7 linked regions of the Canis lupus familiaris genome follow. The protein of the gene in region 2 interacts with the protein of the main gene of each other region in a pairwise test. Links are inferred from orthologs where the notes say so. Each region holds a gene or a part of one and is shown on either strand. Other genes may lie near its edges.

Region 1 (3,500 bases), on a different chromosome or scaffold from region 2:
ACCGCTGAGCCTCCCCAGGCATCCCCAGTTTCATTCTTTTGTAAAAATTAAAATTCTATTTGTCCACAGGTCAAATCATTCCCCCTGGACATGACTGCATCTTTCATTTATTTTCTAATTATCAGTGCTCTTCTAATGTTATTCTGGAATCTTTGTGGTTTATTGTTCTATTTAATGGGCAACTGCATTCTGAAAGACTAAAATCAGGTTGCAAATCAACTCATGAAAGGCAATTTTACCAATTCTTTGATCTTCATTAGCTGGAGTTATTGAATCCAAGGCTGGAATGCACCGAAGCAGGGCACAACCTCCTCCCAGAACAATGCCTTCTTCAACAGCAGCTCTTGTGGCATTGAGGGCATCTGTAACTCGGTCTTTCTTTTCATTCACTTCAACATCACTTGTCCCACCAACCTAATGATTAAAAGAATTCCAGTTAGTATGGGTTTTGCCCATTCAAGATGCTGACTGGCAAGAGTCACTGAAAAGCACGGAGTTCACTTAAAAACATGTAAAAAAAAGGTCGCCTATTTGTTAAAAGTGACTGCATGATTAAAGAGCTAATAGGGTCAGTGCAGTGTCTCACATCAGTCCAACACACTATCATTAACAAAACACCTTTTTCCTTAGCAATACCAAGTTCACTTCTGGCTTTAAGGGGAGTATTCCAAAAAAATTTTATATAATATATATCTCCATGACAAAGTTATTTCCCAAAACCTTTTGGTTACACGGCACTATTGGAGAGTACCACAGAAACAAAATCATTCTTGGGTTCAGAACCCAAGAAACTCATTTACAACAATGAATCTTACCTTCAACACAGCTACTCCATCTGAGAGTTTTGCCAGACGCTCATTCAGCTTTTCCTTTTCGTATTCACTAGTTGTGATATCTAACTGCTCAATGATTTCTTGAATACGTTTTTCAATTTGAGCCTTGTCACCTTTTCCTTTTAAAAGCATGGCATCATCTTTGGTCACAATGACCTCTCCAACTTTTCCTAAGTCATGAGGCTGAACATCTTCGAGATTTAGAGTCAACCCTTCTTCCCCAAACACCTACAAAAATATTTAAAAATGAACCCGTTGCAGCTTGGTTTTTCATTATACCAAGTTTATCAGTAATACATCAGGTGGGTTTTTTGAGGAGATAAACATCTTAGAATACTGTATTTCTTTGAAATGTGAAATTTCAAGACAACGTCTAGTCCAGAGAAGACTTGATCAGGTTTTTCACTGCATTTCCCACTTCTCACTTAATCCTCAATCAGAATTAATTAGCTTTATTTCAGAAAAGTATAAACTCAATTCCCCTGAGGTCACACTTTTGGTGGAACCAGGACTAGACCTTAGACCTAAACAATTAAGTCCTATGTCTTTTCTATTGTATTGAACACAGATTAGTCAAATAATCCTATTCTTGGGCTAGACTCATAGCAAGTTAGAGAAGGGACCTGGGCACATTTAATCAAACCTTTACCTCGAAAACATCCAACAGAAACAAAAATGAATAGTTAATAATAAATGATTGTGAAAAACCTAAAATCTACCTATAAATTTTAGGCCTGGAAGTATATAACATTCAGTAAACCAACATCACATATATTTTACTTACTGCACCACCAGTAGCAATAGCCATATCTTTAAGCTGGTTCTTTCTATTGTCACCAAAACCTGGAGCTTTGACTGCCACAACCTGAAGACCGACTTTTAGCCTGTTAAGAACAATAAGAATGAGATTTAAAGTTAATTAAAGTTCTTAGTACTAAGATTACTTAGGAAACCACACTTTTTTTAAAAAAGGTTTTATTTATTTGAAAGAGTGATGGGACGCCTGGGTGGCTCGGTGGCTCATGGTGTGATCCCGGGGTCCTGGGATTGAGTCCCACATCAGGCTCCTTGCAAGGAGCCTGCTTCCCCTCTCTGCCTATGTCTCTGCCTCTCTCTCTCATGAATAAATAAATCAAATCTCTTTAAAAAAAGAAAGCGAGCACATGAATGGGGGTGGGGGGGTGAGGCACCCAACATGGGGCTCAATCCCAGGACCCCCGAGGACCATGATCTGAGCTGAAAGCAGACATATAACTGACTAAGCCACCCAGGCACCCCTGGAAACCACACTTTACAATTTTTTGCTTCCTACCAACTTTTAGTCAAATTAAGACATGAAAGAGCAACTTTCCATTCATCCATATTTGCCATTACCTTTGTCAAAAATTGTTGACCTTACGGTTAAACTGAACCCAGGAAATAAATGCTAACATAAACAAAAAACTTTTAAGTTAACTACAGTGATAACTATACCCTATTTGTTCTATTTAGTAATGGATCAAGTTACTACTGAAGTTTGAGCAGTGTTCTTAATTCAGTTCCTTTACATATATAAGTGTTGCTGATAAATAGCATTAAGTTCACCTGCGATTTTATCATGTAATGAATATCTGGAATATATAATCAAAGGAATGTCCACTTGAGACCACACTGTGTGAAAAAGGAGTATTTAAACTGTTAAAGACAGAGTTGGTCTATTTTATTAAAGGGCCAAATAAAAATCAGAGGGACAGATAAACATAGTATGCCAAATCAATCAGCCATCCAAAGCTACAGACACCAGTAGATGGCTCAATGAAACTCTGGAGGTCTATTTTTTTTTTAATTTATTTTGACTTAAAATCCCACAATCTCATAAAGCTTTTCATAACCCAAAAAGCAAATCCAAGCTAACAAACATTCAAGGATAAGTCAACTCATTCGGAGCTTTTGTGTCAAGGTATGCACTCTCCCATATAACTATTTCATTTGTCCATTTCCATTACAATTGGAAAATTATTACTTCTAGAGCAGCCCAGGGGGCTCAGCGGTTTAGTGCTGCCTTCAGCCCAGGGCGTGATCCTGGAGTCCCGAGATCAAGTCCCACATCGGGCTCCCTGCATGGAGCCTGCTTCTCCCTCTGCCTGTGTCTCTCCTGAATAAATATAATCTTCAAAAAAAATTATTACTTCTAATATACCTCAATTCTAGGAATAGGAAGAATATGTATTTTAAAAACGTTCTAATATTCTTTCTTAAAATTTAATCTCCACACCCATGTGGGACTCGAACTCACAATCAAATCAAGATCAAGAGTCACATGCTCTTCTGACGGAGACAGCCATGCACCACAGTAAGGCCCTAACACTTTTATAGCAGGAGCTACTAGTCGTAAAGTAAAAAATCATATATTATAGTTTAAAAAATTAAGCGAAGAGACTTTATCTTAGATTGAATGTCAAATTCTCTATTTCAGACCATTAATTAAAATGTCCTTTGATGGGATGTCTGGGTGGCTCAGCAGCTGAGCGCCTACCTTCAGCCCAGGGCTGATCCTGTGGTCCCAGGATCGAGTCCCACATCGGGCTCCCTGCATGGAGCCTACTTCTCCCTCTCTCTGTGCCTCATGAATAAATAAATAAACTCTTAAAAAAAAAAAAAAAAGTTTTGGGATCCCTGGGTGGCGCA
Region 2 (4,131 bases):
GGAGGCGCCCGGCCCGGCCCGGCCCGGCCCCGCCTCCGCGGCGCCCCCGGCCCGACCGGCCCCCGTCCGGCCCGAGTGGGCGGCGCAGCGCGGGGGAGGGGTCCGAGGGGCGTCCCCGCCCCGGCGCGGACACGCGCAGCACCCCGCGTCACGCGGGGCCGCGCCGCGGGCCTCGGGACCCCCCACGCCCGGTGGGCTCGGGGACTCGGCGGCGGCGGCGGGTCACCCTCCACCCCTACCCGGGCCCCGGGGCCAGCGGCAGCTGGTCATTGTTCCAGCACAAAGGGCCCGGCGCCACGGCGGCCGCCCTTCCCCCTCCGCTCCTCCGGTCGAAGCCTCCCCCGCAAGACACACTCCGGCTTCGGAGTCCCGAGCGGGGCGCGGAGGGCCGGCCCCCCCACCCGCCCCGGCCGCCGGGCCCCTGCTCCCCAGGGCCGGGTCGCGGACCCGGGCTCGGGCCGTGCCTGCCCCACCCCCAGCGGTGGAGGGAGGCAGATTCGGATTTGCGGAGGCGGCGCCACCAGGCGGCGCGTTCGCAGGATACACCGCCACCCCAGCAACTTTGGGGGCCCCTACCGGACTGCCCAGCACTGTAGCCTGCCCCCCGCGAGCCCAGGCCTGCCTCGCGCGCGGCCGTCTGCTCCCCAACCTTCCCTGAGAATCATTTGCTAAGAGAGGTCACTGCTGGGAGAGAGGCAGCCCCTGGCCCCCTGACAATCACTGGGGTGAGGCGGTCCAAACCTACAGTCAGAACCTACACCAGTCCCACAGCTGACAACATCCCTCGGTCTTCTCAGGGTCACAGAGAGTCTCACCCTCTCGCAAACAACACAATCTTCCTAACACCCACACGACTTTTCCCACATTCGGTCCCACGCAGCCACAATCACAGTCTCCTCCATCACGTGATTCCAGGTTCCTTCCTTCCATAATCTTTCAGGCCAACTTACACACAGACACACTGGGTGTCACACACCTTGTGCACAATCTTTCACAAGGACTCAGAGTCCTTCCTACCGAGTCACAATCTTAAATGGGCTTCCTCTCCTAAACATCTTTAACACATTGGTGGTCTCATTCAGTCAGACAACTTACACATACCCATGGTGTTTCACGAGCATTTTTTACCACAAAGACTTTTTTCCCCCCTGAGGGGTCTCTGGTCAGGTCAGCTGATGCCCACACCCCCAGCCAAGGACAGGCCTCCCACCCCCTACTTGCATCCCCACCCCCAAGGCCAAGGCCTGCCAGAGCTCCTCTGCCCCAGGAAGGAGCATCCCCCCCTTCCAGGCCACAGCCCTGGCCAGCTCTCAGCTCTATTTTTAGCTCTATGGAAAGGGTTGTTTTTCTTTCTTTTTCCCTGGAAAGGGAGGCATAGCCCAACCACCCTCAGGCTCACCCCAGACCCTGAGCCACATAAGAATAGACTGAGCCCCCCTCCCCAGTAGAGACCCCCTCCTCTGGCCTTGCCCTGATCCCAGCCTCTTGGGGCACCAGGAGCCTCCTCCCCTTTCTGGCAGCCAGCCCGGAAGCTCAGGCAGCAGCTGGGCTCAGCGTGTGTGTAGGGGTGGAGGGTGGGGCAGAGAGGGAGGCGAGGGCCGCTGCCCACTCCCTCATTCCCTGGGGGAGGGGGCTCATCCTCCCTTCTAGGGGAGGGGGATAGGCCCACTCCCGTACTTCGAGGACATTTACCTTTATGCATTCTCTGGGAAAGGAGGACTCCCACTCTCGCACGAGTGGGTTTTCGGCTCCTACAGTTGAAGGGAGGAGCTCCCAGTTCTGCAAGGAGGGGTGGTGGTAGGAAAGGGACCCACCGGCTCTCAGGCAGCTGCTCCCCAGACTGGAGGTATGGGGCCGGAGCTGCCGTATACTGCCACCCGAAATAGCGCCCTCCTCCGATACCTTCCGGGATGAGGGCCCCACGAACGTGTTCGTTCGGGTGAAGGAAGGCAAGGAGCCCAGGTAACCCCACCGAGCCCAAGAGTCTCCAGGCCTGCGCTACCCGGACTCCAGGGGGCGTTGTGCTCCCATTTCAGGGGGAAGGCTTAACATTTCTTGAGGCGGAGAATGGAATACGGCCCGACAGGAGACCTCGGAGACTCGCCCAGGGTTGGGGAGGGAGGTCCTCGCCCTGATGCGGGGGCGAGGGAAGCACAGCCCACTCGTCTGCGAAGCGATCACGTGCTCGGCGCCTGTTTACGTCTTAGTCTTCACCTGTGGGCGGCCAGGAAGCAGGAACCTCCGGAGGTGTCCCACCCGGCCCGCCCCCGTCGGCGGTCACCGGGCAGCCCCTTCTCCCACCCCTGCCAAGTACGGGACAGCAGAGCACCCTGTCAGCTGGGGCTCCGTGCGGGCCAGTGGCGCCGCTCCAGGGACTGCAAGGGTAACCCACTGGGCGCGTCCTCTCCTGAGTGCACGTGTGTCCTATGTGCGTGGGTCTCGGCGCGCGCGCGTGTGCACCCACTGGCGTGAGTTTCCGTGTCGGTTCCCTGTTCAGGCTCCTCGCCTGCGGGCCCCCCGGACCCCAGTGTGGGACCCTCTCCTCACTCCACCCCCTAGCTTCCCCAGACCGGGAAAGTTCGCTCCCGACCCGGCATGTGCGGGAGGCCGGAGTGCCCACACCTCCGCGGCCCCACCACTCACCCAGGCCACCTGCGCCGCCGCTGCCGCTGCCGCTGCCGCTCCCGCCCAGCTCCTGCCCGAGCGCCGGCACCTCTCCGCCGCAGATCTGCCGGCTCCCAGCCAGCTCCGGGCTCCGGACTCCCGGCGCCCGCCGGGCCCGGCCTGGTGGAACGGGGCGGGGCGGGGCGGCTGAGGCCGCGCCCCCGACCCAGGGAGGGGAGTGGTCTGCCCAGCACCCCCTCTACGGCGGACCCGGTACCCAGCCCAGCAGTAGCTCGGTGGTGGCCAGGTTGCCCCTCTGGCCTCCGACTTCACAGCTTTCTGGATTTGGTTTTCGACTTGGGGAAAGGGGCGAACAGCACGTGACCGGGAGCTAAACTACCTGGCCGGCCTAACCAAGTTGACGATAGGACTTTACTGCCACCTGCCCTACCCTGTAAGGAGCCAAACCGGGTCGGCTCTCAGCTCATTCCCCAGGAACAAGGAAAACCCCTAGGAAGCAGACAAAGAAGGCTCGGGTTTCACTAAAACAGACCCCGCCCCACCCTCTGGTCGGAATTGCCCTAGCAGAGCCAGCCCCTTCCCCCCTCCCCGCAGTAGGTGCCTACCCAGGTGAGCATACTTGCCAGTTCTGGCCCCCCACAGAGCATGGCCAGGCTTCCCTTACACTCATAAAGTTCCACCCACAGGCACAAACAGGAAGTTGCCCTGTATTGCAGGAAGGCACCTAGGGCTCCATCTGTGGCACCCGAGGCAGCCTGTGGGAAGGCACAGACTGTCATCTACAGGTATCTGAGCCTTACTTGCAGCAAGAGTATCTGCACAGGAGGAGTCCAGTGAATTTAATCTCTTCTCCAACTCACCTGCAGTAAAGAAGCGACTGGAAAGCTGAAAAAACGACACTAAATCTGAAGACACGGCTGAAGATCCAGCTGGACCCAGCTGGGCCAGGCCCTTCCTAAACTCTCAGGGTGATTAATATCCGATTGGAAAAAGAGCCCGGGTAATTTGCCTCAATCCACTCTGGTTGGGTACAGGGACAGTGGCTACCAGGGACCTTATTCCGGACCCAGGGATCCCCTACTGCTTTCTAGGCTCCAGGGACTTCTAGACATACTTTTGGCTAATCTTGATGTGAGTTTAAGACAGGTGTGCAATGGAATGTGTGTGTACGGGGTGGGGTTGGGGGAGTGTCAATTTCCCCTCTCCCATCATTCGGATTTGTGCTTTGTGTGTGTGTGTGTGGGGGGGGGATGTCTGCTAGGAGGGTGGAGCAAGACAGGCAAGTGCGTATCTATCCTTCTATCCCCAATTCACAGAGACCTCACAAAAGTCCCCTAATGGAAATAGCTAAAGGATTTTCTGAGAACACACCAGGCCTTCCAGTAGACCAGAATCCTTAGAGGTAGGAATGACCTGGTGGTGTACATCTGGAAGGCATGGCTGACATTCAATGTTACAGACCCTGGATGAGGCATAGACCAGCCAGCGGCTGGGAATGATTACTGC
Region 3 (4,014 bases), on a different chromosome or scaffold from region 2:
AGGAATAACCAGGACAAAAGCCCTAAGTTAGTATGTTTAAGGAAAAATAAAGCCTGTATGGATGAAGAGAGTAAGGGGAAAGTAGTAGAGGAGGTCAGATTGGCAACAGGGGCAGATCATGGAGGTCTTTTAAGTCATCCAATTATTGTGAGTGGACTGTAAGGGTGACTGTATGCTAATTAGGAAGCTACTAAAAATAATCCAGGTGAGAGATTATGGTGGTTCAAATAGGACTGTGTTCCAAGGTGATGAGATGTGGTCTGACTCTGATTTATTTATTTATTTATTTATTTATTTATTTATTTATTTATTTATTTATTCATTCATTCATTCATTCATTCATTCATGAGAGAGAGAGAGAGAGAGAGAGAGAGAGAGAGAGACACAGGCAGAGAGAGAAGCAGGCTCCATGCAGGGAGCCTGACGTGGGACTCGATCCCGGGTCTCCAGGATCAGGCCCTGGGCTGAAAGCGGTGCTAAATCACTGAGCCACCCGGGCTGCCCGACTCTGATCTATTTTGAAGATACGAGTCAACAAGATTTCCTAACATATCAAATGTGGAATAAGAAAGAAATCCAAGGCTTGCCTTGATCAAATGGAAGGATAGCATCCTATTAACTGAGCTGATAGTGGGAGGAGCAGGTTTGGCGAGAAGATCAGGATTTCTGTTTTGGACACATTAAATTTGAGATCTCTTGGGACGCCTGGGTGGCTCAGCGGTTGAGCGTTTGCCTTCAGCTCAGGGAGGGATCCCAGAGTTCTGGGATCAAGTCCGGCATCGGGCTCCCTGTGAGGAGCCGGCTTCTCCCTCTGCCTATGTCTCTGCCTTCTCTCTGTGTCTTTTATGAAAAAATAAATAAAATCTTAAAAAAAATAAATTTAAGACGTCTATTAGATTTCAAATTGGGGATGTCAAAAAGGCAGCTAAAATAGAAGAATCTGATTTTCATGGAAGAGATCAGGGCAAGAATACAAGGGTGGGAACAGTTACCAAATAGATGGTACTTAAACCGTGAAATGGATGACAGCACCAGAGAAGAGATATGAAAAGAAGAGGTCCAAGAACCAAACTTGTGGCATATCAATGATAAAAGGCTGGGGACAAAAGAGCCAGCAAAAGATGCTGAGAGGTGAAGAAGTACTAAAACAGGAATGGGATGGCTCAGAAGCCAAGTAAAGATACCGAACCCAGGAGGCCAGTGTTTAATTGTGTCAAACACTGCTCTCAGGACAAATGAAAGATGTGACCTGAGAAATGTATTAAGTGACCCGGAGGTCAACACTTACACCCTAAAAAATTAAAAAAAAAAAAGACCATCTTTTTATTAGTCTCTCTCCCTCTTTATAGCACCTAAACAATATCGTTCATTCTGCTTAGAGCTCTCTCTCCACTAGTTTTCAGCACCAAAGTCATGTAACCTAGGAACCCTGACCCCCAAAACTAATGCTCTTGTTTTAAGATGAAACTATACTTAAAAAAAAAAAAAAAGATTTTCATTTATTTATTTACAAGAAACACACAGAGAGAGGCAGAGGCATAGGCAGAGGGAGAAGCAGGCTCCCCGCTGGGATCCCGACGCGGGACTCCATCCCAGGACCCCGCGATCCTGCCCAGAGCCCAAGGCAGATGCTCAACCACTGAGACACCCAGGTGTCCCAAAACTATACTTTCATCATGAAATGTATTATTCGAATCGTCAATTTAATTGTCTCTCAGGTTAGACTGTAAGATCTTGAAGTCAGGGTCATGGCTATCTTGCTTCCTTTTTTACTCAAAACCATCTAAACTCCTACCTAGCACAGTGCAAAGTACGGACTAGACAACCTACAAGAATGTACAGAACAGATGGATAAACGTTAGGAGTGCTCAATAGTGTGACCAATTAACTTCTTGTTGGTCTAACTTAGAGACTGCCTAGACGCAAGCATCTAAAGCAACAAGTGGGCATAGAGAGCTCTGACCACCCTGAATCTATTCCAGGGCTGGGTCTCCCATTTCATCACCTTTGCAAGGGTGTGATGCGGACTCCTTATTCAATTTCACTTTTTTTATTCCAAAGGATTCCCCTGGCAGAACCTTTTGGCCGTCTATCTACTTCCCCCTCCCTCCAAAACTAACCACCCTCTTCCTGGCACCCCCCTCCCCCACTTACCCAGACGCGTGGTGCGCTCGCGCGGGGCTGCGGCCTTGTTCCCAGTCCCATGCTCGGTCTCGAGTTCCTCCTGTTGCTGCCGCGCTTGCTGCAAAATCCGTCGGGTCAGCCGGGGCCCCACATACTCTTCGTCCTCCTCTCTGGTCCCACGACCCCGCCGCTTCTCCCGGGGCCCTGCCCGCGCCGCGTCCCCAGCCAGGATTTGCTCAGCCAGCGGCGCATGTTTTTCCTGGCCTGCAGCTCCGCGAGCCGGCTTGAATTTGGGCATTTTTTTCCAGAACTCTGCCAGAAAGGTTTACACGTGGGGTACAGACGAGGAAAAAAAAAAAAAAAAGCCTTGAGCGCACTTGCGCCGTGAAGTCCCAGCTCCCAAGAGGCCCCCGCGGAGCTCACAGCGCCTCCCGGCGTCCGGAGGCCGGGAAGGCCATCAGCGCCGCCACACCCCGTAAGAGCGGGGCCTGGAGCCAGCCGGTCCCCGAATGAACTCACTGCTTCTAACGCTGGCTTCTGCAAGTGGTGGCAGTCCGAGCGGTGGTTTTCTACTTTCATAGATCGAGGACCTCTGTTCCCAGCCAAACGTGGACTTGCCTAGCTGCAAAGCCGGGGCCAGAGTTGGGTAGTGACGTCACTGGAGGCGTCACCGAGGAGATGCCTAGACCTGCCCCTGTTCCTCGTGGGCGCGTCGACTGGACGCTCTCCTTTTGCGTCATTTCCGGAGCACCTCCCTCGGCCGAAGCTTTCGTTAGGGGTCTTCACTTAGTGTGGGCGGCCAGAGACTACTGTGATCCGATTGTTTGTTCCTGCCATCCTCCTGGCCCGATACCATGGGAGTGACTTGGTAGGCCCGCAGGGGACTTTTTTGGGCGGCGCTCGGGGTCGGGAAGGGCCCCGGAGCCCGGAGTGTACCGGGAGGAGGGCCGGGACCAGGGACCGCGGTCCCCCATGAGCTGATGAAGATAAGATATCTTCGGAACGTGTGGGTGATGGAGACGCTGCGAGGGCTGCAGATTCTCCGCGCTTGTTTGCTCGGAGACACTTCCCTTCGTCCTGAAAGGCGGCAGGTGAAAGGTTTTGTCCCAGGAGCCCATCAGTGGTTGTGTTCCTCCTTCCCAGGAGGCCATAGGGCTGCCCGAGGTGGAAATTAAGGATGCCCGAACTAGGACCCAATCTACAGGCGTAGCTAGAGGAGGTAAAGGATAGGCAACGAGGAAACCGTCTTTTTTTAAAGATTTTCTCCTGCCCCTCCCTACAGCCACTTAATGCAGTTAGACCGGCCCGTGTCTGGTTCTGGTGCGGCCGTCTTAAGATTTTCGGTCTAGAGGGAAAAAAAAAAAAAAAATAAGCAGCAGCAGCTGTTGGGAGGTAGATTGGGGTTTAGGCACGTCACCTCTTCAGAATTCGTTTCCTACTATGTTTAATTGTATGGTTGGTGTAACTAATTACTATGGACTTTTAATCTCTCAACATGATATAAGTGGGGTGGCAGAGAAAGGTATGGGCCTAATGCTCTTGGAGAAAATGCTAGATTTTAGGGATTGTTTTGTTTTGAGTACCGGTAAGTATTAGCACGTTTCTAGTTAGGGCTGGAGCCTGTGGGAACCACTCTTTTTTTAAAAAAAAATTTTAATTTATTTATGATAGTCACACACACACACAGAGAGAGAGAGAGAGAGAGAGGCAGAGAGAGGCAGAGAGACATAGGCAGAGGGAGAAGCAGGCTCCATGCGGGGAGCCCGACGTGGGATTCGATCCTGGGTCTCCAGGATTGCACCCTGGGCCAAAGGCAGGCGCTAAACTGCTGCACCACCCAGGGATCCCTGGAGCTAGTCTTTCTGATAGCTCAGGTTCTTGTAGGCTTGT
Region 4 (3,688 bases), on a different chromosome or scaffold from region 2:
GGTCTTTGAAAGGATCTTGGCTTCGACGGGAAGCTATTCAAAGGTTTTGAGAAGAAGGTAACAATCAGCCTGTGTTTTTGATGGAGCCTCAGCCAGCAGTACTGAGCACTGATGACGTGCCAGGTACTGTTCTGAGAAAGTCCACACGACCCCTTGGCAGGTGCTTTGATTCTGTTCCCTGGGCCCTCGTATCTTCCTTCTGTATCTGCACTGCCTCTTCCGTAGTTTCTTGCCTCTCGTGTGGCCCCTGGTCTATGCAGCCTCTTGATAGGTTTCTCCACCTCTGGCTTCTTTCCCTCTAAGCTGGCTCCAGCCGCTGTGACCTCACTTCCTTCTGAAGATGTCTTTGTTCTGCCCGTTGCCAACATTGGAGTTTTGAGCAGCTTCCATTGCTCACGGACCGGAATCCCCATGGTGGTCTTCAGTGCTCTTTATGTTCTGGCTCGACCTGCCTTCTCAGCCACCTTCCCTGCTAATGTTCCTTGCTGGCCAGATGGGAGGATTTACTAGGCCCTGAAACCAGTCCGTGCTTCTCCACTTCTGTGCCTTTGCTTACGCCTTTCCTGCCAGCTGGAATCCTTCTGCTGCCACCCGCCCCGCCATCCCCCCCAGCCAAGGGAGGTTTTCATCCTCGGAACTGCTATACAGTTTCCCCTTTAACGTCACTGAGATTGTATCTTTTCAGTTCCTGGCTTGCTTTTTTTTTTTTTTTATGGTGAGATCCTAGGTTGTTGGGGTAACATTTCATCCCTCTGGCCTTGTAGCTCTGTGAGTGAGGAGGTGCTCGGTAAAGATCGGTAGCGTTGGTGAGTCCTGCCACCTGGTAAATGGAAAGATAGGCCACCCTTTCACTCTTCTGGCTCCCGGTCGCTCTCCCCTGGGCATTTTTCCCCTTCAACATCTTTCTTTTCTTTTCTTTTCTTTTCTTTTCTTTTCTTTTCTTTTCTTTTCTTTTCTTTTCTTTTCTTTTCTTTTCTTTTCTTTTCTTTTCTTTTCTTTTCTTTTCTTTTCTTTTCTTTTCTTTCTTTCTTTCTTTCTTTCTTTCTTTCTTTCTTTCTTTCTTTCTCCTTCCTTCCTTCCTTCCTTCCTTCCTTCCTTCCTTCCTTCCTTCCTTCTTTCTTTTTTTAAAGATTTATTTATTTATTTATGAGAGAGAGAGAGAGAGAGAGGGAGGCAGAGACACAGGCAGGGGGAGAAGCAGGCTCCACGCCGGGAGCCTGATGTGGGACTCGATCCCAGGACTCCAGGATCATGCCCTGGGCCAAAGGCAGGTGCCAAACCGCTGAGCCACCCAGGGATCCCTTCCCCTTCAACATATTTCATTTGCTTTTTGGGTAGTCCTTAACTTCCAGGAAGTTACCTGAAGAGAAAGTACCTTCTGTCCTCGATCCAGTGGGGAGACTTGGCAAACATCCAAGCTTTGCCCAAGGCCTGGGACCAAATTTCAGAAGATGAGCACCAAAGCCTTGTACAAGGTGCTGGTTTTCATTTATTACTTCATGTCTGCTCTGTGTGTGTGTGTGTGTGTGTGTGTGTGTGTGTGTCTCTCACTTCTTTGGAAGCATTACAGAGATGCCCTTGCAGTGCGTCTGTGTTTCTTATAAATCTGATGTTTTGCATTCTCTGGAGAGGGTGATATGCTACAGTTTTTCTCTCCTCCTATTCCAGATACCCTGTTGAATGTTTCCTTTTTCCTGGAAGAGTAAGAAAGCTGTGTGTTTATCAGCAGACAAGGGGGACGCAGCTGAAGACTGACATTGGTGCTTTCTAGTGTGGTGACCTGACATACTTGAAAAATCAGTGCCTAGGGCAGCCCGAATGGCTCAGCGGTTTAGCAGCACCTTCAGCCCAGGGCGTGATCCTGGAGACCCGGGTTCCAGTCCCACATCGGGCTCCCTGTAGGGAGCCTGCTTCTCCCTCTGCCTGTATCTCTGCCTCTTTCTCTGTGTCTCTCATGAATAAATAAATAAAGCCTTAAAAAAAGAAAAGAAAAATCAGTGCCTAGAGCCTGAGGACAGGCTTCTGATGTTGGGACCTCTCCCTGCGACATCATGGCTGAGGGCACATGGGCCACCGCTTGGCCTTTCATAAGCTTGGGAATGGAAGGAGGCAGAGAGAATGGGGGAAAGCAGTGCAGAACACTGGGGCAGGAGCCGCTGCCACAGAAGCAGTGGGGAGGGAGAGGGGAGGGAGTGTGGCCTCGCCCTCGGCATCATCCAAAGCTCTGAGCTTGGTTGACACCTGGCCCTGTTCCGTGTATTTGGGTCAGTACCTGATTCCTTGATGGAACAGGATTCTTCTTGATTTAAAGAAGTAAAGGTGATATTGATGGAAGACAGTACAGATCTTTCTCGATGGGTTACCTCCTGATAATCCCATCATAAGTTGAAAATATCGGAAGTCAGAAATGCTCTTAATACACCTAACCTACCAAACCGGTGCCCAAGCACTCACACTAGCCTACAGTTGGGCAAAAATCATCTACCACAAACTTACAATGAAATGTTGAATATCTTCTGTAATTGGTTGAAAAACAGAATAGCTGTACGGGCACAGAATGGCTGTAGGTTGTTTGCCCCTGTGATCTCTGGGCTGACTGAGCTGTGGCATGCTGCCGCCGCCCAGCATCACAAGCATGCCGCAAGTTGCCAGCCCAGGGAGAGAGCCACATTCAAAATGTGTAGGACGGTTTCTGGTGGACACGTGTGGCGTTTTGCACCATCCCATCGTAAGAGTCGAAAAACCGCAAGTCAAAGCGTCGTACCTCCCAGAGTGTCCCTGTTCCCTAACTGCTGTAGCTCCTCACTGTCCGGACAGCTCCAGTTTCTAGAGCCACCACCAGGGGGAGGTGGTGCAGCATGAATTATGCTCAGGGCTCCGACTTTGAGGAGTTCTCTTGTCCCCCTGTCCCAGTTAGTAGCTGGGGAGAGCAAGATGGTTACAATGACAGGGGTTTTGACCAAAGCTGGCGCCTGATTCACCACATTGTTTTGATCTGAGAGTAGCTCCACGGTGGGAGAAGACCTCCCCGAATCAGGCCCTGGGGGTTACATTTCTGAAGCCCATTGCCTTCATCTGTAAAATGGTCGGGTATTTCCAGACCTATCAGCTTCGGGGGTTGTGGAAAAATCTGGGTCACTGAATGTAAAGAGGCTTAATAAAGAGTATAGATATTTTTAAAATGAAAATGACTTTTTTCCTTACTACAAAAGTGATATATATATATATATTTTTTTTTTAAATCATAGAAATGAAAAAAAATCATAGAAATGTCAAAAAATTCTTAAGTGTAGAAAAGTACAAATAAAGCTCCATCAGTGATATTTTGATATATAGACCCTTACGGTGTCCATATTCACACACACAAAGAAACCAAACCCAAATATAGCGTCATTGATCTATCTATAGGGTTATTTAATCTTTTTTTTTTTTTAGGGTTATTTAATCTTGTTCAAAAAACATAGTTTGCCCATCTTTTCGTATCTGTAAAAATAGCTCAACACAATTACAGTAGATACTATTACACACATCATATACCATTTTGTGAACGTATTAGATTTTCTACTTTTCCAAACCTTCATGTGTTTGTGCCTGTAAAGATCTCACATTCTGGTTGCGAAAAACAGAAATATCACAGAAAGTGAAAACACATGGTGTCTTCTGTTTTTAACAATATGGTAGACATTCC
Region 5 (3,500 bases), on a different chromosome or scaffold from region 2:
AATGGAGCCTGCTTCTCCCTCTGCCTGTGTCTCTGCCTCTCTCTGTCTCTGTCTCTCATGAGTAAATAAATAAAATCTTAAAAAAAAAAAGAAAGAAAGAAAGAAATCTGGCATCATAGAAGATGGGCCTAAACCCTAGGCTAAGATACACCTAAAACTCTGTTTTGGCCAACTAGATGTAAGGTGAAGTCTACTAGTAGGTTTTGCAGAAAGATTTTTCTATCCCGATAAAAAGGTTAAGTACAGAAGAGGGGCCATCTAGTACTGCCCCAAATATGGGTGTTGATGTATGAAGACACAGTGCTTAGAGCTATAGCAGCCACTTTGCAATTATGAGGGGGAAGAGCCAGAGAATCAGACACATCAACCTAGAGCCCTGACACCATGGACCTGCCAACCTCCAGACTCACGTGAGATAATTAAATGTCCTCAAGGTTCAAGTACCTGTCAGACAGACTATTACTTGCAGCTGAAAGTAATCCTCACTGATCCAGTGGGGGGCAGAATGCAGAAATGAATGACGTGATCCTTGCACTCAAGCGCCTTAGTGTTTAGTGGGGAAGATGGGCAAGTAAACAAGAGGCACTCAGGAATGATTAAGCATTCAGGAATCCCATCCTGGAGGTGGCAAGCACAGCTGGAGTCACCAGATTGCACATCTGCATTTCCAAACAGTCAGCCGTAGGACACCTGCCCACATACAGATAGCCCCAGCAAGCTGGGTGAAGCAGGGAGGGGCAGGACAGCAGGCTCACCTGCTGGGACAGAGTGCCTCGGCAGTCCTGTAGCACGTCTAACATCTGGAAGATGTCAAATGCACGAACTACCTGGATCCTCTGGAGAGCTCCTGCCTAAAGAGGTAGGAAAGAGAAGGAGGGGCTTTGGGTAAGAGGGAGCAGGGGCTCAAGTAAGATAAAGAGGGATTTTATTTTTTTTGAAGATTTTATTTATTTATTTGACAGAGAGTAAGCGAGAGACAGAAAGAAAGAGATTGAGAAAGAGAACGAGCTGGGAGAGGGGCAGAGGAAAAGGGAGAAAGACTTTCTGCTGAGCAGGGAGCCCAACTCAGCGCTTGACCCCAGGACCCTGAGATCATGATCTGAGCCCAAGGCAAATGCTTAGCCAACTGAGCCACCCAAGTGCCCCCAAAGAGGGATTTTAAAGCTGAGCAAAATGAGACACCTAGATGTAAGGACTCCAGTACAAGATGGTAAATGGGTCTGTCTACTGGGCCAGTTGTTACAGTGGAGGCTGTCTGGGGGCTGAGCTGCAAAGCCAAGTCAGAGCTCTGTCTGATTAGGAATGTCTGCTATGGGCAAGAAAAATGGGAAGGAAACACAGATGCTGGGTGTTTGCCAGCTATGAATTAGGGTGTGCATGGAGCTAGGTCACCTTGGAAGATCAGTGTGGGTAGCATCCAAGCTGGGCTAATGTTATAACAGGGGACACTTAAAGAATTCAGGAAGTACTAAGAACAATAGGTTTCAAACTCAGAAGTGACTATCCAAACAGCTAAAATTCTTGCACTCTAAGGAATAATGGCATCTTTCTACATCAGAACCTCAAGGGAACTCAACCCTCCTGCCCCTTACCTGCACCTCCTCATCTGGGGTTCTGGCCTGAAGTAGCTGGAGGATGCGGGAGGCTGTCAATCCTCCATTGGAATCAATGTATACAACATTCTGCTGCAGGCCATAGGCCACATTTGCAGCCACACAAAGACATACCTGAAGGGACAAGGCATTGGGAGATAGTGAGCCCCCAAAGAGGGCCCAGAATGGGAGCTCCCCACCAAATCCTGTCCAGGACCCAGCAACTCGAATGGGCGAAGTTCATGCCCAACTCCTCACCACTTATCTTCTCTCTGAATCACAAGTACATTAGAAGAAGCCGCCCCCCACCACACACACACACACAGATCTGGTGCTACCCACCACCTCCTCCCTCTTCTCCCCTCCCCTTCCCTACCCCATGGCCACCTGCTGCTGGCCGCAAATGTACCTGGGTCTTGCCACTACCTGGGCCTCCTACAATTTCAGTCACTTCTCCAGTGTAGAGACCAGCATCAAGCAGTTTGTCCAGGCTGATGAAAGAAGAGGAAGAAAGAGAATCAACCCAGTGGACTGGTGGGGACAGAGGGGAGTAGGAACCAAGAAAAGTAAGACATTCCTTCCCAGCACTAGTTCTGAACATATCTAGGGAAAGAGGGCATGGCTCCAAGGTCCATCCATTCACTCTTGGCCTAAAGATCACTTTCCACAGAGGTCTCTGCCAACCCATCAAAGGGTCCTCTTTCTATTGCCTATCTTAATCCCCTACAGGTTTCCTTGATAGCATTTCCCATAATTCGTCACTTTTTCAACTTTATTTATTTTATTTATTTATTCATGAGACACACACACACACACACAGAGACCCCCAATGCCTTGTCTTAAAAAGAAAATTTAAAGGGGTCTGTGGGTGGCTCAATCAGTTAAGCATCTGACTCTTGATTTTGGCTCAGCTCATGATCTCAGGCTTGTGAGATCAAGCCTGGCATAGGGCTCTGTGCTGGGTATAGAGCCTCCTTAAGATTCTCCCTTCCTCTGCCCCTCTCCCCCTTCTCTAAACAAAAACAAAAAACACAACTGTTGGGTTGTATGGCAAGCACATGTTAATTTTATAAGAAATTACTAAACTATAAGAAACTACTAAACTGGGCAGCCAGGGTGGCTCAGCGGTTTAGCGCTGCCTTCAGCTCAGGGTGTGATTCTGGAGACCCAGGATCGAGTTCCGCACCAGGCTCCCTGCGTGGAGCCTGCTTCTCCCTCTGCCTGTGTTTCTGCCTTGCTCTCTCTCTCTCTCTGTGTGTGTCGCACATGAATAAATAAATAAAATCTTAAAAAAAAAGTAAAAAAAAAAAAGAATCCTTATAAAAAAAAGAATTCTTTATATATTTTAGATGCAAGTCCTTTGTTGAATATGTGGTTTGCAAATATTTTCCCCACTCTGTGGGGAAACCACTCTGTGCTTGTCTTTTTGTCCTCTTTTCAGAGCAAAAATTTTAAATCTGGATTCATTTTTAATCTTATAGTTTTATTAACAATTATTTTTTAATTGATCATGATTTTGTTTTGTTTTGTTTTGTTTAAAAGATTGTATTTATTTATTCATGAGAGACACACAGAGAGAGGCAGAGACACAGGCAGATGGAGAAGCAGGTTCCCTGTGGGAAGCCTGATATGGAACTTGATTCCAGGACCACAGGATCCCTACTGGAGCCCAATGTGGGGCTCGATCACCAGACCCATGATCCAGGATCACACCCTGAGCTGAAAGCATATGCTTAGCTGCTGAGCCACCCAAGCACCCCAATTGATCATGCTTTTGGTGTCAAGTCTAAGAACTCTCTGCCTAGCTCTAGTTCTCAGATTTTCCCCTCTGTTTTGTTCTAAAAGCTTGACAGTTTTAGGGTACTTGCCTGGCTCAGATGGAGGAGCATGTAACTCGATCTCAGGGTT
Region 6 (4,067 bases), on a different chromosome or scaffold from region 2:
CTTTGCCTGTTACAAAACATTTTGATAAACGGCATTTTAATCCTAATAGGCTCCCAAATTAAGCACTACTAGTACAAGCCTAGCAATAATAATAAGAATAACAGTAGTAGTAGTAGTAGTAATAAAGTTGACTTTTCCAATATTACACCGCTGGACAGTAACAGGCTTGGGATGGGCAAGTCTTGCCACTTCACAAATTAGTGAGGGGAGTTACTGAAGGGACTCTTCCTTGACAGGAAAAAGTTTCTATGACAGCCTGTAAGAGAAGTAGAAGCTAAATATGTGGAAAAACATACAGCCAAACTTTGTGCGGACATAGCTGGGAGATTGAGAACTCACTTCACAAAAGAATTCATTGCCACGGAGCCCACAGAACCAGGATATCCAAGACACCTCCTCTGAGCTGCTCATCTTCACGTCAGCTGGGAAAAAAAAAAAAAAGAGGGTAAACAAAGGCCAAGCTCCCCCACCCTGTCTCTGGTACCTTCCCTCCTCCCCACACTCTGCTCCCCGACCATGGAAGAATTTGGAGCCCCCTTTTCTTAAAGGATCCTAGACCCTGGCGCACCTGCCTCCAATTCCTCTTATTCACTAGAGGCTCTTTGGAGTCCCACCACTTCTGAAAAACCGACAGGTCTAGGCTCACCCGTCCTACCCACACCCCTAACAATCCCGAAAACCAGCACCCTCTCCTCTTTACGTCAAGTCCCTCCCTCGCAGGGCTCTCGGCTCGAGATCCCTACCCCGCAGGTCTCCGCATGTCCCCGACACCTTTCCCAAGGGTTCCGAAGTTTATCCTTTCCAAGCAAAAGCCAGGACCCTTTCCCCTCACGACCTGGAGGTGGCCCTGGGTCCCTCTCACAGGAGTCCCCACACCCCGCCTCTCAGGCCAACCCTCCCTCCCCCGGTGCCGGACCGGGTCACTTCCTTCCCCACCCCCACACCAACGCGCGGAGACCCCATGTGCCGCGCCTAAGGACGGAAGACTCGATGCGGCAACGACCTCAGACTCACCGGCTGGGCGGGGACCGGGACCGGGACCGGGGTGGGGGAGGGGAGTTGCTGCTTCCAAAGAACCGCGACGGCTACAGCGCAGGCCGCGGACCCGACCGCGGCAGGCGAAGTAGCGAGGGGGGGGGGGCGGGGGGCGGTGTGTGTGGAAATTGGGGAGGGTGGGGAGAGGGCAACGCGCAAGCGCCAAGGGTCGGGCGCCGCAGTGAACGCCGGGAAATGGAGTCCCAGGTAAAGAGAAACTGGCGAAGCGAAGAACAGGCGAACTACGAATCCCAGGATGACCCACGAACGACCCTGGCGTCGCGAGGCCCAGGAACAAGACGCTCGGGGGTGGGGAGCAGCGGGATACCACCGGAAGCGGAAGCGCAGTACCCCGTTCTGGGCCAGGGAGTATGGGAAATAGAGTCGTAGGGTCGCGCAACTGAGGGGCCGGGAGGGGGCGGGGAAGGAACGGGGCTGGAGGGCTGGATTCCTGCAACTCCCCTCACACAGCGAGGCTCTGCCCCAGGTGTTTGCCGGCAGCCCAGGGTGCTGACCTCGTCCCCGACTACCCCACCGGGTCCTTGTTGCCTGCGGAGCCTCTCGCCAGAGTCAGGCCCGCCACTGGAGGCCCCACCCGGGCCGGTGCTTCACCCCGGGGTCTAGTCTCCTCAGGCGGGAGGTGAGGCCGGGCTCCTTGCTTGCGGGACGTGGGAAGAGTGGGCTGGGCTGAGGTGAGCGGTGTGAGAATTGGGACGGCCTGTGCGCTAACCTGAAGTGGCGCCAGCCATTCTGCTGCTCGTCCCCTTGCACTTTTCCATCTCCTCTCAGAGCTTGAATGGGGCCTTCTGCTGCGGGCACTAAGTGTGACCTTCGAACCCTGCTCAGAATAATGGTGAGGGGTGGCGTGACGTTATTTCACTTCACGGCTTCGGGGCATTCCACAGGTTTCCTCCCGCCTTCTCAGAGCCCTCCTTAACTCGGTGGTTTCGCAGGTCCAAAAACTGCGCTCGGAGTGGGGGGCCACGTTCCGGGAGGCGAAGGGCATTGTGGGGCGTTATGTAGAAGTAGGACCCCAACCGACAGAGCCTCTGTCCTCGCGCTGCCTGGGCACGTGGCATCCTGGAGGGTCCCACCGTGCGAAGGCTCAGCCTGGCGCTTCGCACACGCCCGCACCCTCAAGTTCTGCTTTGTGGTGGTTGATTTTTTTTTCAGTCACACATGTGTGTCTGGGTCGTGTGGCTATTGGACTGGCAGCACCTTTGCTTAGATAAAATTTTTGTGGTACAGAGACCCTGTGGGGTCTCCACAGAGACTGGAGTTTCTCCCCCAAATCTTCTTCTTGCATCCGGAGAAGGTTAAAAGTCTGTTTTTGTTTGGAAAGACCCTACCCTGACATAGGATCAAGGAAGATTTAAAGGGCTAGGCTGATTGTTTTCTTAACTGCACGTCTTACCTGGTGATCAAGTAGTTTGAGAGAGAAGCTGTTTTTACTTATTGGTGAGGATAGGGATGGGCCTCTGGGCAATTCTCATTAAATCTTTGTTAAGTTAACCTTTACGAGGGATATGGGCTGTTATTGTATGGCTCCCTGTTTTTCCACATGACCTATGGTCCTTAGGCCCTGTAGGGTCCTAGGTTGTGGGGTCACTTAGAGTATAAGACGGGTTTTTGACTTGGAAAAGGCTACTTTTCCTCATCCCAGCAGATCTGTGGAGGTGGTTCTGGTCAGTGCAGAGCCACCAAGGGATTGGCTTGCTTGTCTCATACGCCCTTTAATTAGTCTCATTGTCTCAGTTCTCCCAAAAGCCATGTCCAGGCCCTCCCTCATCACCTTCACCCCGGCCACCAACCCCAGTGACCTCTGGAAAGATGGGCAGCAGCAGTCACAGCCTGAAGAGCTGGAGCCCACCCTGAATGGGGCTGCAGCCCGGGCTTTCTATGAGGCCCTGATTGCAGAAGAGAGCAGCATCCCTGCATCCCAGAGATCTCAGCCTGAACCTGACAGGAAAAGAAAGAGGAAGAAGAGAAGAATGATGGGGGAAGCTGCTGTAGGAGCCTCAGCAGGACATGGACAAAGGAGATCCCTTGAGGCAGAGGACAAGATGACCCATTGGATACTGAGGGCAGCCCAGGAGGGTGACCTAGCAGAACTAAGAAGGCTCTTGGATCCCCACGAGGCAGGGGGAGCGGGGGGCAATATCAATGCTCGGGATGCCTTCTGGTGGACCCCCCTGATGTGTGCTGCTCGAGCAGGCCAGGGGGCTGCTGTGCGCTATCTCCTGGGCCGTGGAGCTGCCTGGGTGGGTGTCTGTGAGCTGGGTGGCAAGGATGCTGCTCAGCTGGCTGAAGAAGCGGGTTTTCCTGAGGTGGCGCGCATGGTCCGAGAGAGCCACGGAGAGACGAGGAATCCAGAGAACCGGTGAGAGGAAGCCTTAACCCATGCCCATCTTTCAGTGTGTTCTGCCCTTCCTAGTCCCTCCATGCCAGAGGCTCCGGAACAGACTCAAAGATTCTCTCCCTGATCCCCAGTGTAGGTTGATATGGCAATGGAATCGAGTAGTAGTAAATGTGAGCTCCCTGTTTTTTTTGTGTGTGTGTTTTTTTAAGATTTTTATTTATTTATTCATGAGAGACACAGAGAGAGAGAGAGAGGCAGAGGGAGAAGCAGGCTCCCTGCAGGGAGCCCGATGTGGAACTCATCCAAGGTCTCCAGGATCACACCCTGGGCCAAAGGCAGGCGCTCAACCGCTGAGCCACCCAGGTGTCCCAGCTCCCTGGGTTTAAATTCTGATTCTACTTACTTGGTCAAGCAACCTAATTTTTATGTGCCTCATTTTCCTTATCTGAGAAATGGGGGGTAACAAGAGCACCTGTTAAAGAATTGTGAGGATTTAATGGGTCAATATATGTAAAGTGTTAGGATGACGGTTTACCATATATATATATATATAGTTAATATATATATATAGGGGATTAACTATATACATATATATAGGGGATCCCTGGTGGCGCAGGGCGCGATCCTGGAGACCCGGGATCGGATCCCACATCGGGCTCCCGGTGCATGGAGC
Region 7 (3,500 bases), on a different chromosome or scaffold from region 2:
GCATCCGCTCACCTGCAGATGGTGGGACGTGATGACAGGCCTCTTTCCCGGACACCAGACATCCTCCTTCACCTGCCTCAGGGCCTGAAGACACTTCCTGCGGCAACCCCCGTCCTCGTCCAGCTGCTCCAGCAGCACCTGCTCGGCCTGCAGGAAGCTCAGCTGCCAGTGATAATTGGAACAGGCCAACAGGGCAAACCCAAACGACTGGGGGAAGAGAAGAACATGGGGAACATTGAGAAGGATGACGCTTGCCAGAGTAGAGCCGTCTCAGAAGCCATGCGCTGCTCTGCGGCAGGAGGGGAGCCTGCTACCAGGCAGGCAGTACCTCCCGCGTGGGGATGTGGAAGGAGGCTCGGGGCAAACCCCTTTCCTGGCACACAGTGAACTGGAAAGACTGTGCCCACTTTCTCTCGGGCACTGGTTCTCCAAGTTGAGCCTGGAGAGCTTGTTAAAACAGATTGCTGGGCCCTGCCCACCAGCTCTCCCTCGGGGGATCCAGAGCAGGGCCTGGGACTCTGCATCTCTGACAGGCTCTCAGGGGTCACTGCAGATTCTGAGGACCACACCTGGAGAACCACTGATCTGGTGAAACCTCATTTTTCCTTCCAAAGCTGGTTGACAGTGACGCTGTGAGCTGGGCCCCGGCCCACTGATACCTTGATGCACTCCACTCTCTGTCGGGAAGGCCAGCGCTTCAGACAGGGAGGCCACCGAGCTTTCTCAGACCAGGCCGTGGGGATCTCCACTGCGGGGACCAGCTCTAGTTCCACCTGACACGTGGGCGTTTCCACGGCAACCCAAACTGCAGCTGCAGCGTGGTGTGGGAGCATGCTGACCTTACCTGGTGGGAAGCGACAAAGAGGTGATGAGAAGAGGAAGCCTGGCTCAGCGCCCACGTCCTAAGGACGGTCCTAAGGAGGAATCCGGGAGCCACAGGTGTGAGCAGCTCCTTGCAGGTGATGGGGCAACTTTCACAGGCCGGAAACACCCCAAAGGTGGGGGGTTTATGGCAAAACTAGACAATTAGCTGAGTAAATATTGGTAGAAATGTTGCTAGAAAACCTCATTGTTGGTGCCGGTTGCTTTTCCCTTTCTCTCCCACCCCCGAGGCTTTTATGGCACCTTTTCTTTTAAAGTAATAGATTCTTTTCAGAAGGCTCAATGGAAGAGGCAGAGAAGACAAAGAAAAGATGGAGTATTTGCTAGTAAAAATGAAATCCAGCCATTCTTCTGTGCCCCCTCCATTCTGCTCAGATGTCCTGACCTTGTCAGCCTCCGTCCCCTGACTTCATTCACCGGCCTCTAGTGGAGCTCGGCTTAACCCGTCCCTCCCCTGCCGCCCAGGCTCTCTGATGGCATTGTTTCCACTATCCATTAAGCTAGCCTAGCCTCAGGTGTATTTGTCATCCCAAGCCCTTGCAATTATAGAATTCTTCAAAGTGTGTCATAGCCACTGGCTGAAAGGCTCGAATGAGTGGAAAGAAGCCCCGCTGCCTCTTCCAACCTGGCAAAGAGAGGGAGAGAAGATAAATGCATCTGGGAGCATCTTCCAGTTCCTGTACTAGAATTCGTTGCTAATCTGTTCCCCCTTCTTTCAAAAGATACGCAGTAGTTTTGTTTGTTTGCCTTCATTACAGATAAAAAGGATGAGCTGTCTTGAATCAGGATCTGTTCTTTTTCTCTTGTTTGCTCAGAGAAGAAAATGGAAGCTTGCTCATTAATCACGTTAAGCTATTCAAAAGGAAAACATTCCTCTCCTTGGCTGGGGTGCGATGAAGAGCTTACTGTCTGCAGCTCATCAGAGCTGCCCAGACAGGAACATGACGACGTCTGGCACCCTGGCATTGTTTACTGAAAGCATCTCATCAACCTGGCCCGTTTGCAAGCCCTCATTTGCACTTTCACTATTACCAGTGTTTCGAAGTGAAGAGGTCAGCACATGCTGGAACCAGCCTGCCCCCCACACCCTGCTTCTGCCCTGGCTCAGCTCACTCGATGCATGACCTCAACCTCGGTCATGCATGATAGCTCCTCTCTCTCAACCTCAGTGTTCTCATCCGTAAAACAGGTAGAAAAATAACTCTGACTCTCCAGGGTTGCTATGCGCATGACATTTTCCACGAAAGCATCCTTAATGTGGTAAAAAACGCATTAAACATGGGCTAATTCCATTATGGGACCTTTCAGAACAGCTCAGTCCAGACAAGTAAAAGTACATTTTCAAATCCTTTTCTTTCTACACACGTGGGATTGCCTCTTGGTCGGTGCTCTGGTTTTTCCCTTCATTATCCAGCGCAGGGATTTTTTTACAACTCTGTGTAGAGGTAGAGGTAGTACAATTTATTTTGTCAACTTCCCTTTGTTTTTGATATTATGTCTACTTACTTTCTTTCACACAGCCCCTATGGCAGTGGACACCATTATGCATATTTCTTTCTAATCTGTAGGAATATATTTCTAGACCTGGAATTGGTGAATTGTCAACTGAAGCACTTTATAAAAATAAAAACAGACTGACTGCCCTTTAAAAAGTAGGCACCAATTTATACTTCCAAAAACAATGCTTGAAAAGGCCTTTTGTACCACACTCACCCCTACACTGAGCATGATCACATTTTTTCATCTCTGTCAATCTATTAGTTGTTTTAATGCACATTGCTTGAAATATATGTTAGATGGAATTTTTTTCCCCACTTTTTTACTACTACGTGTTTATATTCTTTTTCTGTGAGTCATTTTTCTGGTCATTATTTCTATTGGCTGGCTCCTACTCTTACTGGTTTACAACTACTCTTTTATAATTAAGAAAATTTGCAACTTTTTACCCAGCATGAAATACACATTTTTATTCTGTGTGAACAAAATGTGTGTGTGCCCGCCTGTGCACATATGCCACATGTTGGTATACGGTTTAAGATTTTGGGATTATCAAACTTATCGGTTCTTTATGGCTTCTCAATTTTGTGTTTTGGCACAAATCAGTGGTTTCCAAATGCGGCATCTCAATACACCAGGGTACTGCAGTCAGTTGGAGGGTGTTGTAGGAATGTGCTAATACCAAAGATATGTAGTTTGTGAATAATTTGCTTTTTAAAACATGTAGCCAAGTTTTTAAATTAACATCTGGGAACTGGTGCATAACCGAAAGCCCATCATTTCTCTGCTGGGGCAATAATCCACGGAAATCCAAGTGGATGTTATATGGATCCTATTCTTCAGTGTCAAAGCAGAAAAAAGAGCTAACTCATATTGTGAGGAGTGAACAGATGTAAGGAGCACATGGGGATTATCTTAATTTAGGGGCATGAGCTTCGGGGTGACACCTATGCAGAGGTTTTTTAAAGCAAAAGGGGAATGCCAGAAATTGTCCTTGTACTTTTCTTGATCAGCTCACCTGAGAGATGACAGGTTCCAATTGCATTTTCTACCAGCTTCCGGAACACCTGGAGGACCTTGGCAGGCACGATATCCCCCTCTATGTTCACATCTGCCTTGTG

What was found.
Region 1: the proteins of LZTS2 (region 2) and HSPD1 interact in binary tests that used the Homo sapiens proteins (3 or more experiments, as listed by UniProt). The two-hybrid records come from large-scale screens. The link is inferred for Canis lupus familiaris from reciprocal best matches to the Homo sapiens genes LZTS2 and HSPD1.
Region 3: the proteins of LZTS2 (region 2) and BYSL interact in binary tests that used the Homo sapiens proteins (3 or more experiments, as listed by UniProt). The two-hybrid records come from large-scale screens. The link is inferred for Canis lupus familiaris from reciprocal best matches to the Homo sapiens genes LZTS2 and BYSL.
Region 4: the proteins of LZTS2 (region 2) and C15H1orf109 interact in binary tests that used the Homo sapiens proteins (3 or more experiments, as listed by UniProt). The two-hybrid records come from large-scale screens. The link is inferred for Canis lupus familiaris from reciprocal best matches to the Homo sapiens genes LZTS2 and AIRIM.
Region 5: the proteins of LZTS2 (region 2) and RAD51D interact in binary tests that used the Homo sapiens proteins (3 or more experiments, as listed by UniProt). The two-hybrid records come from large-scale screens. The link is inferred for Canis lupus familiaris from reciprocal best matches to the Homo sapiens genes LZTS2 and RAD51D.
Region 6: the proteins of LZTS2 (region 2) and GPANK1 interact in binary tests that used the Homo sapiens proteins (3 or more experiments, as listed by UniProt). The two-hybrid records come from large-scale screens. The link is inferred for Canis lupus familiaris from reciprocal best matches to the Homo sapiens genes LZTS2 and GPANK1.
Region 7: the proteins of LZTS2 (region 2) and MAB21L3 interact in binary tests that used the Homo sapiens proteins (3 or more experiments, as listed by UniProt). The two-hybrid records come from large-scale screens. The link is inferred for Canis lupus familiaris from reciprocal best matches to the Homo sapiens genes LZTS2 and MAB21L3.

What each region holds. Positions count from the first base shown.
Region 1 is NC_049258.1:6,890,901-6,894,400, forward strand, and holds part of HSPD1 (60 kDa heat shock protein, mitochondrial), read right to left. Parts: intron 1,718-3,500; coding exon 1,618-1,717; intron 1,062-1,617; coding exon 816-1,061; intron 415-815; coding exon 240-414; intron 1-239. UniProt on the Homo sapiens protein: Chaperonin implicated in mitochondrial protein import and macromolecular assembly. Together with Hsp10, facilitates the correct folding of imported proteins.
Region 2 is NC_049249.1:13,868,791-13,872,921, reverse strand, and holds the start of LZTS2 (leucine zipper putative tumor suppressor 2), read right to left. Parts: upstream 2,801-4,131; 5' UTR 2,644-2,800; intron 2,215-2,643; exon of another isoform or gene 1,693-2,214; intron 597-1,692; coding exon of another isoform or gene 1-596. Other genes in the region: proline-rich protein HaeIII subfamily 1-like, read left to right, coding at 1-596. UniProt on the Homo sapiens protein: Negative regulator of katanin-mediated microtubule severing and release from the centrosome. Required for central spindle formation and the completion of cytokinesis.
Region 3 is NC_049233.1:10,768,295-10,772,308, reverse strand, and holds the start of BYSL (bystin), read right to left. Parts: upstream 2,801-4,014; 5' UTR 2,644-2,800; exon of another isoform or gene 2,437-2,643; 5' UTR 2,423-2,436; coding exon 2,155-2,422; intron 1-2,154. Other genes in the region: MED20 (mediator of RNA polymerase II transcription subunit 20), read left to right, coding at 2,979-2,992. UniProt on the Homo sapiens protein: Required for processing of 20S pre-rRNA precursor and biogenesis of 40S ribosomal subunits. May be required for trophinin-dependent regulation of cell adhesion during implantation of human embryos.
Region 4 is NC_049236.1:4,889,818-4,893,505, forward strand, and holds the end of C15H1orf109 (uncharacterized protein C1orf109 homolog), read left to right. Parts: intron 1-1,356; coding exon 1,357-1,475; intron 1,476-1,668; coding exon 1,669-1,706; 3' UTR 1,707-3,188; downstream 3,189-3,688. UniProt on the Homo sapiens protein: Part of the 55LCC heterohexameric ATPase complex which is chromatin-associated and promotes replisome proteostasis to maintain replication fork progression and genome stability.
Region 5 is NC_049230.1:38,217,477-38,220,976, reverse strand, and holds part of RAD51D (DNA repair protein RAD51 homolog 4), read right to left. Parts: intron 2,084-3,500; coding exon 2,002-2,083; intron 1,728-2,001; coding exon 1,593-1,727; intron 852-1,592; coding exon 756-851; intron 34-755; exon of another isoform or gene 1-33. UniProt on the Homo sapiens protein: Involved in the homologous recombination repair (HRR) pathway of double-stranded DNA breaks arising during DNA replication or induced by DNA-damaging agents. Bind to single-stranded DNA (ssDNA) and has DNA-dependent ATPase activity.
Region 6 is NC_049233.1:1,285,955-1,290,021, reverse strand, and holds the start of GPANK1 (G patch domain and ankyrin repeat-containing protein 1), read left to right. Parts: upstream 1-1,267; 5' UTR 1,268-1,675; intron 1,676-1,686; exon of another isoform or gene 1,687-1,765; coding exon of another isoform or gene 1,766-1,814; exon of another isoform or gene 1,815-2,493; intron 2,494-2,790; 5' UTR 2,791-2,804; coding exon 2,805-3,415; intron 3,416-4,067. Other genes in the region: CSNK2B (casein kinase II subunit beta), read right to left, coding at 340-422, 1,766-1,814.
Region 7 is NC_049238.1:54,124,369-54,127,868, reverse strand, and holds part of MAB21L3 (protein mab-21-like 3), read right to left. Parts: coding exon 3,398-3,500; intron 845-3,397; coding exon 660-844; intron 208-659; coding exon 13-207; intron 1-12.